Macaca mulatta: one gene and its partners. The protein of the gene in region 3 purifies or fractionates together with the protein of the main gene of each other region. This does not show direct contact. Links are inferred from orthologs where the notes say so. Each region holds a gene or a part of one and is shown on either strand. Other genes may lie near its edges.

Region 1 (3,500 bases), on a different chromosome or scaffold from region 3:
GAGTGCCTCCATTTCCCCGCCTGCCACACACAGACACCACGGGCACCAGCGAGATGGAAGGTGGCTGGCTCACACTGGCCACAGCACCTGGCACACACATGCCGTGGCCGCTGCTCCCTACTCTTCTGCCTAGGAGCCTCCTGGTTTCTCCTGATGCTGAAACTCCCACAGTTCCTCTCTCTCCCACTGGACCCCACAGAGAGCTACAGCCCAGATCCAGCCTATCCTGGAGGTCCAGTGAACCCTTCTTTGGCCCTCACTGTCACCTGGCACCGCTGTCCCCTGCTTTGATGAGGAGGCTGTGACCCTGAGACAGGTCTCCAAGCTTGTGGGAGGTCGCGCTGCTGGCAAGGACATGCCTAACGCCAGCTTTGGAGATGGCGGTTCCAGCTGTGCCCAGATCCACTCAGACACACTGAGCCTGCAGAAGGCGACTCACGGTCCTTCCGGGAGTTCTGGGTGTGGAACTGGAGGCACTCCCTGTCCCCAGCAGTACCACCCGGCTCTGCTTCAGTTTCCTCAGATGAGGAGGATGTGACTGCACTTCCTCCATGCAGCTCTGCCACCCTCATGTCTTCCTCCTCATCCTCAGCTGAGGCAGATGAAAGCCAGGTGCCACCTCCCACCTGGGAGCAGGGTCAGCTACAGGCCTGGTGCTGGGCAGTGCGGTGGCTGCCTGCTTTCCTATTACACTGTGCATGTTCCATCATTTTAAAAGAAACCCTTGGATGAGCGAGCTTTGTCCCGTCAGCTGACTCTCGCTGCTGAGAACAGACTGGGTTCTGGGACAGCCCCTGGCCTCTGTGATCGGGGCCTGTAGGCAATGCTCCCAGTACACAGGGTTCTTCACCACAATCTTACACGGTGGCCTACCTGGTCAGGACTTCTCTCCCCCACATTCCTGTGTGCATGCTGTCGTTCATCCAGACACTTGGCCAGATGCTGACACATGTGGGCAGTGGCGGTCAGCGTCCTCCGTAGCTGATGGGTCTCGTTGGCCAAGGAGCGGCACAGGATATCACTGGCGGCCCGGGCGCGCTCCCCTTCCGCCATGCTCCTCCGTAGCAGGACGACTTCCTTCTCTCGCTCGTGCTGGGGCTGGCTCAGTAGCTGCTGCATCTCCCTCTCTTTTTCTTCTAGTCGTTCAGTCAGCCTCTCAATTTCCTAAGTGGAAGATTTAAAAGCACAGTTTACTGAATTAAAAGAAGCAGTGTTGAGAGCAAATGTTCAGAAACCAAAAGGAGACCTGGCATGGATGCCCCAGCACCAGACACAAACACACTCACTCCAAAGTCGGGCATCTGAACTAACAATTACTCACTCAGAAGTCGGGCATTTGAACTATTAACTCTGGAGTTTTTCAGCCTACAATGTTCTGTTCTGAAACTTCATCTTAAAATTTTTTTTTTTTTTTTTTTTTTGAGACAGAGTCTCACTCTGTTGCTCAGGCTGGAGTGCAGTGGCATGATCTCGGTTCACTGCAACCTCCACCTCCCAGATCCAAGTGATTCTCCTGCCTCAGCCTCCACAGTAGCTGGAATTATAGGCGCCCACCACCACACCCGGCTAATTTTTGTATTTTTTTTTTTTTTGAGACAGAGTCTTGCTCTCACCCAGGCTGGAGTGCAGTGGCACAATCTCGGTTCACTGCAAGCTCCGCCTCCCAGGTTCACGCCTTTTTCCTGCCTCAGCCTCCCGAGTAGCTGAGACTACAGGTGCCCGCCACCATGCCCAGCTAATTTTTTGTACTTTTAGTAGAGATGGGGTTTTACTGTGTTAGCCAGGATGGTCTCGATCTCCTGACCTCGTGATCGACCCACCTCGGCCTCCCAAAGTGCTGGGATTACAGGCGTGAGCCACCGCGCCTGGCCCAATTTTTGTATTTTTAGTAGAGACAAGGTTTCACCATGTTGGCCAGGCTAGTCTTGAATTCCTGACCTCAGGTGATCTGCCCGCCTCGGCCTCCCAAAGTACTAGGATTATAGGCGTGAGCCACCATGCCCAGCCCTTTTTTTTTTTTGAGGCAGGGTCTCACTGTCACCCAGGCTAGAGTGCAGTGGCATAATCATGGCTCCCTGCAGCCTCGGCCTCCCCAGGCCCAAGCGATTCTCCATCCTAACCTGAGTAGCTGGGACTACAGCACGTGCCACTGTGCCTGGCTAACATTTTTGTATTTTGTAGAGACAGGGTTTTGCTGTGATGCTCAGGCTGGTCTTGAACTCCTGGACTCGAGCAATTCAGCCGCCCTGGCTTCCCAAAGTGCTGGGATGACAGTGTGGGCCACCGTACCCCGCCAAATTCTGTTTTCACAAGCAAGCACATCATTTTAGATTTCGTATCATCAAGATGTTGTTTTGAAATGAGGGTCTCGCTATATATAGCCCAGGCTGGTCTTCAACTCCTAGGCTCAGGCAAATCCCCCCACCCCAGCCTCCGGAATAGCTGGGACTACAGGCTCAAGCCACTACATGCAGTTTTCATCAAATTATCAAAGTGGCAATTCCAAGCACTTTTTTGATAGGAAAGGTAGAAACTCCACTGTAGTGGGCAACCCCCAAAAGATGTCCACAACCAAACCCCCCATTCCCCAGTATCTGGGAACGAAACCTTATTTAGAGATAGGGTCTTTGCAGATGTAATTAGTTAAGGTGAGGACAAACTGGATTAGGACGGGACTGGTGTCCTAAGAAGAAGACGGAAGTCTGGACAGACACACAGAAGGAGGCCATGTGACAACAAAGATATGAGTGACATCTTGTCTTGTAGATAAAGGCCAAGGAACACCAATGATTGGCGGCCCCCACAGGAAGCTGAAGAGGCGAGGAAGCGCGTTCTTCCCTAGGACCTTCAGAGAGAGCCGATGCCTTCGTTTCCGGCTTCTGGCCTCTAGAACTGTGAAAGATTACATTGCTGTTGGTGGAAGCTTACCCCTCCCCCCGCACCCCCCCCCCCCCGTTTGTGTTACTTTGTTACAGCAGCTCTAGGAAATTAACACACCCAACCCCAATTACTTCTTAAAGAAATGAAAAAGGTTCTTAAAATGACAATTTTTTTTGAGACAGGGGCTTGCCCTGTCACCCAGGCTGGAGTACAGTGGTGCCATCATGGTTCACTGCAGCCTCGACCTCCCAAGTTCAAGTGATCCCCTTGCCTCAGCACCCTAATGAGTTGGACAACAAGTGCAGGCCACTGTACCTAGCTAATTTCTCTATTTTTTGTAGAGACAAGGTTTCACCATGTTGCCCAGGCTGGTCCTGGACTTGAGTGATCTGCCTGCCTCAGCTTCCCAAAGTGCTGGGATTACAGGCAAGAGCCACCACATCTGACCTGACAATTTTTTAACACCTGGCCTTAAATTTGTGCTTTTCCATTTTCAAAGACTCCTCCAAAATAAACAGTACATTACATGAAGGAGGTGAAGCAGGCACAACTAGTCCATCCCACAAGTGAAGAAACAGTTTCAGAAAAGTCAGGGAGGAGCCCAAGCTTCCCCCAGAAGC
Region 2 (3,500 bases), on a different chromosome or scaffold from region 3:
GCGGGATAAGCCCCCTCCCGCCGACGGCACCTTCCCCCAGGTTGGGGCTCACCGGTTTGTCAAGGTCAGCTCCAGCATCTCGGAGCAGCCGAACCATCTCCACATCTTTGTGGATAACGGCCACATGGAGTGGGGTGTGGCCTGGGGACAGAGTGATTGGTGTCAGATGAGGTGAGGGGTCCCCCCTGTGCTTTGATCCTGAGGGAGGGTCACGTGGCCTGAGGGTGATCAGGTTTGGGGGCTGGTTCCTGAATTCGTGGGTATGGCAAAGAGGTACCTGGGTCCTGTCTTGGATGGCCTGAGCTTGCTGGCAAGTGCTAGGCCTGGGTTGTTCGAAGCCTGGGGCCCGTGGGTAAAGAGCCTGGGTTCTGTGGACAGGGGGTCTGGATTTTGGGGCCAGGTGTAGACCCAAGTCTCTGCTCTTACTTCACAAAGGACCTGAGCTGGCATGCTGGCTCACACCTGTAATCCCAGCACTTTGAGAGGCCAAAGCAAGAGGATCACTTGAGCCCAGGAGTTCAAGAAGCAGCCTGGGCAACATGGCAAGACCTCGTCTCTACTAAAAATAAAAAATAAAGGCTGGGCACGGTGGCTCACGCCTGTAATCCCAGCACTGTGGGAGGCCGAGGCAGGCAGATCATTTGAGGTCAGGAGTTCCAGACCAGCCTGGCCAACATGGTGAAACCCTGTCTCCACTAAAAATACAAAAATTAGCTGGGCCTGGTGGCACATGCCTGTAATCCCAGCTACTCAGGAGGCTGAGGCAGGAGAATGGTGTGAACCCGGGAGGCAGAGCTTGCAGTGAGCCGAGATAGCACCACTGCACTCCAGCCTTGGTGACAAGCAAAACTCCATCTCAAAGAAAAAAGAATAGGCCCGGCATGGTGGCTCACACTTATAATCCCAGCACTTTGGGAAGCTGAGGCGGGAGGATCACGAGGTCAGGAGACTGAGGCCATCCTAACATGGTGAAACCCCGTCTCTACTAAAAATACAAAAAAATAGGCCGGGCGCAGTGGCTCAAGCCTGTAATCCCAGCACTTTGGGAGGCCGAGACGGGCGGATCACGAGGTCAGGAGATCGAGACCATCCTGGCTAACACGGTGAAACCCTGTCTCTACTAAAAAAATACAAAAAACTAGCTGGGCATGGTGGCGGGCGCCTGTAGTTCCAGCTACTCGGGAGGCTGAGGCAGGAGAATGGCGTAAACTCGGGAGGCGGAGCTTGCAGTGAGCTGAGATCCAGCCACTGCACTCCAGCCTGGGCAACAGAGCGAGACTCTGTCTCAAAAAAAACAAAAAAACAAAAAAATAGCCAGGCGTGGTGGCACCAGGCATGGTGGCACATGCCTGTAGCCCCAGCTACTCAGGAGGCTGAGGCAAAAGAATCGCTTGAAACCGGGAGGCAGAGGTTGCAGTGAGCTAAGATCACACCACTGCACTCCAGCCTGGGCAATAGAGCAAGACTCCATCTCAAAAAAACAAACAAACAAAAAGAATAAACAATAAATAAAAAATTAGCCAAGTGTGGTGGTGCACACCTGTAGTCCTAGCTACTTGGAAGTCTGAGACCAGAGGATCATTTAAGTGCAGATCAAGGGTGCAGCACACTGTGATGGTGTCACTGCACTCCAGCCTGGGTGACAGTGAGATCATCTTTAAAACAAACTTAAATTGGCCGGGCACAGTGGCTCACGCCTGTAATCCCAGCACTTTGGGAGGCTGAAGCGGGCAGATCACGAGGTGAGGAGATCCAGACCATTCTGGCTAACATGATGAAACCCCGTCTCTACTAAAAATACAAAAAATTAGCTGGGTGTGGTAGTGGGCACCTGTAGTCCCAGCTACTCGGGAGGCTGAGGCAGGAGAATGGCATGAACCCGGGAGGTGGAGCTTGCAGTGAGCCAAGATAGCGCCACTGCCCTCCAGCCTGGGTGACAGAGCGAGACTCCATGTCAAAAAAAAAAAAAACCTTAAATTAAGGTTGCTGCCCAGGCACGGTGGCTCACACTTATAATCCCAGCACTTTGGGAGGCCGTGGCGGGCAGATCACCTGAGGCCAGGAGTTGAAGACCAGCCTGGTCAACATGGTAAAACCCCGTCTCCACTAAAAATACAAAAATAAGCTGGGCATGGTAGCATGTGCCTGTAATCCTTGTAATCCCAGCAACTCAGGAGGCTGAAGCAGGAGAATCACCTGAACCTGGGAGGTGGAGGTTGCAGTGAGCCAAGATGGCGCCACTGCACTCCAACCTGGGCAACAGAGCGAGACTCTATCTCAAAAAAAAAAAAAAAAAAAAAAAAAGGTACCAAGTAGCTGAAAAGCCTGTGACCTGGGGCTGAGAGGTAGGCCCTGAACACTGGGTCCTGAATGACCTCAGTCCATCTGAGGAGGGGTCTGGTCTCAGGTGGCTGGGCTTATAGGCAGGGAAACAGAAACTTGGATGTTAGGGCTGTGGGCAGATAAGCCCTTCTTCCCATGAGGCTAAGGAGGGCTGTCTCTGAACCCTGCTGCCCATCGCTGGGAACCTGGGGTGCCAGAGTTTCACAGAGGGCCTGAGCTCTGCATTCCCTGGTCCTGGGTGGGGTAGGGATCCCAGCTGCAATGCATTCTGCAGGTGGGGAGCCTGGGGGCCCAACAACTGGATCCTGGCAGCTCTGGGTCTGTGGGTGACAGGTCTGCATCCCAAGTGACCTGGGGCCTCCAGGTGGGGGTCCTGGGTCCTACATATCCAATTCTCAATCATCTGGACCCTGAGTGGAGGTCCCTGGTCCCAATGTCTGGGCTCCTGAAGCCTAGGTATGATTTCCCAAGGAGCTCGGTCTCGAATCAGGGAAGCTGAGCCCAGGGCCAGGTGCTCTCGCCTAGCCCGGGAGCTGAGTCCTTCCCTGATGATGCACGACCCTCACCCTCGTAGTTTTCAGCCTCCAGCTGCAGCTTCCAGTCCTCCTCACTCTCCTCTTCTTCCTTCTCCAAGTCGGAATCGGGGTACAAGGCGACAGGGGTGTGGTTGGTGTCGGGAGTATGGTCAGGGCCCTGAGCGAGGGAGGTGTCGGGGGCTTCCCTGGGGCGCCGGGGGCGGGGCTGAAGCAGGGCACGGGCACAGGCGTGTGCTCCCACACGGCAGGCCAGGTGCAGCGCCGTGTGGCCCCTACGCTCCGCCACGCACAGCCCGGCGCCTGCTGCATACAGCTTCTCCACCGTGGATGCCTCCCCCAGGATGGCTGCCAGGTGCAGGGCCGTCTGCAGAAGCAGAGGACAGGCGGTAGGGAGTCACACTGGGGACCCTGGACCCCAAGCCCTACACCATCCCCTCGTGGCTCACCTGGCCTAGGTCATTCTGCAGGTCCATGTACTCAGTACCAGCTGAGAAGCCTAGAAGAAAATCCAGGAAGGGTTCATGCTGATGAATCACGGCCAAGTGCAGTGCCCTGGGGACAAAGACCGGGGTCAGAGGGCAAAGTTCAAGTCCTCTTGCATTCCTTCATTCGACAAACATG
Region 3 (4,078 bases):
TTTTTTTTTGGTCTTTGCACCCTCTTCAGCGGATTGCCTGTGATGTGCATCATGGTATGTTTTAGTACGTATCCAATAATAAAACTGTTTCATTCTTTTGTTGTACATTGTGCATTTCGTGGAAAGAATACTTTGGAGTTGGCGGGATATTTTTAATTATTTGCCCACCTGGGTCCCCCAGTTTTGGGCACTTGTATGGCAGGCTGATACTCCCCATTCCCTCTCCGTACTTATTTTAACTAGTAAGGGATGGGGCAAGGGTATGGAGCTTTGGAGTCAGACAACCCTGGCTTTTTTAAACTGTGCCTTTTCTTACCAGCATTTGGAAGTGCTGTATATTGAAGTAACTTCTCTGAACCCCGAATACTTCATCTATACAATTAGGAATAATAAATACGTCATAGATTAGGTATAGACATTATCTGACGCATAGCAGGTACTATTCAAATGAAGGAAACGAAGTTATCCTAGGTCCTTTAATGCACTAAATGTTTGCTCCATTTCCCCCTTTCTTGGTATCTGTGTGAAATCTCAGGATACAGTGTCCACTAAACTTCAGCGCACTGCGTAATGAGACAACGACCTGGATGTGCGGACCTTTTGAGTTTAAACGGGTTTCAGTAGGTAAAAGACGTAAAGTTCACAGTACCCTCGCAATTTAGATAGAAAGAGGAAAAAATCAGCCGGGTGGGGGGGTCCCCGTATGCAAATAGAGGAATTATAGAAGAAGACAGGCTCTGCCGCAGCCGCACTTCCCCCTCCGCGCTGGCGCGGGGGTGGAGATTTGCATGCGCGAAGTCGGGAAGAGGGGGAACCACCTCTCGAAAACCCCGGGCGTCGCCCTCCCCGGCCTGGAGGGTCGGCCCCGCTCGGCCGCCCGGCGCGCCCCTAAAAGCTCCCGGGCGGCCGGCCCTCTCTACGTCATCCGCACCCCCCCGCCCGCTCCTGAACTTTAAACCACACTCGGAAGAACAACCTGGAGGAGGGGGATTTCGCGGGAGCCGGCGGCCTTCTCACGCTGCGACCTCCCGGCTGCCGCCGTTCCCTGTGCTCCCGAAGCCCACCCCAAGCTCCCGCTCCCTCGACCCCCTCCCAAGCCCGCCGCCGCAGCAGCGCCGGGGGCGTACGCGCCGGGGCGGACGGTGAGCGTGAGCGGGGGCGGGCAGGGCGGGGCGCTGGGGGCGGTCGCGCGCGCGACGGCAGCTAGGACGCCCCGCCCCACGCCTCCGGCTTGAAGGCTGCGCCGGGCCTACGTCAGCCGCGGGAAATTCCCCTCCCGCCAGGCTGCCAGCCTCTCGGCCTGGCCGGCACTCGGCTCTCGCCCTGCTGCGCCCCCTGCCCCTGGCTCCCGCACGGTGGACGGGCGACGCTGGTGACCCGGAGCGCAAGAATTCAGGGGGTGGGAAGGTGTGAGCCGCAAACCCAGCGGAGGGCGGGAAGAAGGAGGAGGACCCTGGGGTGGTCGGGGGACTGGGGGCCCCGCCGGCAGAGGTCCCTCGGCCTCCTGACTGACTGACTGACTGACCACGGCCGCCTCTGGCCAGGACGCCGGGAACTGCCTGCGGGAAGGTGCGGGGAACGGAGCCATGGCCTCCGGTGAGTGTTCCGGGTCGGGGACCTGGGCCGGGGGGAAGGAGCTTTTCTTGGGGTCCTGCCGCTGTGAGTTTAGGGAGCTCAGTTTTGGCTGGGGCGCGTTCTGTCTTTAAAATCTCATATGGTAAAATTGTCAGCTTTTAAAAAAGTTACCTGTTTCAGGGCTTGCGTGCAAAATCCAAGCCGCGGTCTGTAATTTGATCCTGTTGTCATAGCAGGAAACTTATAAATTCCTAATGACTTGATTTTAGGATTAGGGAAGTCATAAGCGAACTAAAGGAGGACGAGGAGTTCTCATGTTAAAAATGGATATGTATTGAAGTGGTGGTTTTATGTTTTAGAACAAGAATGAGGAACCTTCAAACCTCGGGCAAGCTCTCTCCCCCTTTTTAATTTCGTCAAATGCAAAGAGGTGATCCCCCTTGTACTGACAGTTGTACAAAATGCTGCACGGCTTTAAAAATCATTCGTGGTATTTTAACACGAATTTAAAAATCCGTGGTATTTTAAGTGTTAATGTTGCATCGACCAGGTGTAGGCCGGGCGCGGTGGCTCACGCCTGTAATCCCAGCACTTTGGGAGGCCGAGGCGGGCGGGTCATCTGAGGTCGGAAGTTCGAGACCAGCCTGGCGAACATTTTGAAACTCCGTTTCTACTGAAAATACAAAAATTAGTCTGGCGTGGTGGCGCACGCCTGTAATCCCAGCTACTCGGAAGGCTGAGGCAGGAGAATCGCTCGAACCTGGGCGAGGTGGAGGTTGCAGTGAGCCAAGATCGCGCCCCTTCTCTCCAGCATGGGCGACAGAGACCCTGTCTCTATTAAAAAAAAAAAAAATAGAGTGTGTAATTTTTACTGTGAGATAAAGCACACAGTTTCTAATCTGACGAATAGAGACGTTGAATCCCCCTTCCTTCCCGCTGGAAATAAGGGGAAAGAGGAGTTTTAGAATATCCGTGCTTTAAAATAATGGGTAGTAGTGAATACAACTTTATCACTTATTTGACTGTATATTTTCCCTTAATAAATGCTCGATCTCTCCCTTTGGGGGGAAATAAATTTATAAGAAACATTGCAGAGCAGGGAAGAGCCTCCTGTATGCACAGACGTGGTTTCGGGGTGCCTGGAGCTCAAGGTTGGGGGGACGGGAGAGCCGGGGTGGTGGGAGAAATTAAGTAGCCTGGGTTCGAGTTGGTCTTTTACCAGGATTTTGCCAAGGTGAGTGGGGGGCGCTTTCCAGACAGAGGAAGCAGCGTGAGCAAAGGCAGGGAGGGCTAAATGCATATGTTAAATGCTGTACCTAAGAGAGTGAAGACGGGGCACCGTTTATGAACTTGACTCGCATCCCAAAACTGCCTGGTCCAGTGACCCTCAGAAGTTGGTTGATGTCTAGTGGAGATGAGGAAGTAGGAAGTTTAAAGAACCTTTCTAAAAGGTTGAGCAGAACAATGCCATAGCTACTGCTGTAGGCAGAAAAGGAAATTGGGGTGTTTCACATGACATTTGATTTCAGTTTGTCTGTGGTTGTGAGAATACTAAGTGAAGTTTAAAATATTTCAGCTTTCCCTTTTCCCACTTAAGTGACACCAGACTTTCAGATAATCCTGTAAATTTGTGAATTCAAAGCATGTGTAGATTAGAAGTGCTAAGATGACTTCAAATGTTTTGTTAATTTATTGGTTATCAGAAAGATTTTGTTTGGAAGTAATGAAGAATGCCTAGCATTGTAAGTTAAGTTCAGCCTCTTGGCGATTTAATCAAACTTTATTGATGTATTGCATAAATGTAATACTTACAATTTTTTCAAATGAGAGAGGAAACAACCATTTCTGTATAGAGTATTGTTAAGACCCACAGGATTTTAAAATGTAATACAATTTAAATTTGTTCATTGACACTGTATTTTGTGCTGTTGTGAGGAGGAAGGATTCCCTAAAAGTAAGGAGGAAATGTTTAAAGAAATAGAAAATTTTAAAGGTTTAGAAGTTGAAGGGTGATTAACTTTTTGTTTTTTTGGTCTTTTCTCAAGAGTTGCATTAAAATGGCACTATTTAAAATGTAGCAAGTTATTTAAATTGTAATTCAGTTGTTAGAAAACTGCCAAGCCTGGAATTAAAAAAAAAAAAAAAAGAAAATGTTTAAAGGAATCTGTGTACTTTTCCTTAATCTGTTATAAAGACCTTAGAGATAGAAAAAGATTCAGTAATGAAATTCTAAATTCCTATTCTGTTTTGAAACAGCAATTTAACCAGAAAAGTGACACACACAAAAAAAAAAGAAAAAGAAATTGCTTAGTTTTTCGTTGTCTAGTTTAGATTCTCTTTGTAGTAAGGTAGTATTAAAACCTCAAAAAGTACTTTTATTCATTACAAAGCATTTAAGAGCATTTCTTCATTTCTCACCAGATGTCATATGTAAATAGGTATAAGTGTTGATTATGTGATAGCCATGATGTAAAAGTAACATAAATCATAATCTTACAAGCAA

The links. The genes of interacting proteins can lie anywhere in the genome.
Region 1: the proteins of REL (region 3) and TNIP2 purify together in Homo sapiens (affinity purification with mass spectrometry; 3 studies listed by BioGRID and IntAct, counting the BioPlex papers as one, with this or other methods). This does not show direct contact. The link is inferred for Macaca mulatta from reciprocal best matches to the Homo sapiens genes REL and TNIP2.
Region 2: the proteins of REL (region 3) and NFKBIB purify together in Homo sapiens (affinity purification with mass spectrometry; 7 studies listed by BioGRID and IntAct, counting the BioPlex papers as one, with this or other methods). This does not show direct contact. The link is inferred for Macaca mulatta from reciprocal best matches to the Homo sapiens genes REL and NFKBIB.

Annotation. Positions count from the first base shown.
Region 1 is NC_133410.1:2,892,562-2,896,061, forward strand, and holds part of TNIP2 (TNFAIP3-interacting protein 2), read right to left. Parts: intron 1,165-3,500; coding exon 874-1,164; intron 1-873. UniProt on the Homo sapiens protein: Inhibits NF-kappa-B activation by blocking the interaction of RIPK1 with its downstream effector NEMO/IKBKG.
Region 2 is NC_133424.1:50,002,191-50,005,690, reverse strand, and holds part of NFKBIB (NF-kappa-B inhibitor beta), read right to left. Parts: intron 3,432-3,500; coding exon 3,326-3,431; intron 3,244-3,325; coding exon 2,910-3,243; intron 142-2,909; coding exon 53-141; intron 1-52. UniProt on the Homo sapiens protein: Inhibits NF-kappa-B by complexing with and trapping it in the cytoplasm.
Region 3 is NC_133418.1:63,901,032-63,905,109, reverse strand, and holds the start of REL (proto-oncogene c-Rel), read left to right. Parts: upstream 1-1,278; 5' UTR 1,279-1,586; coding exon 1,587-1,596; intron 1,597-1,746; exon of another isoform or gene 1,747-4,078. UniProt on the Homo sapiens protein: Proto-oncogene that may play a role in differentiation and lymphopoiesis.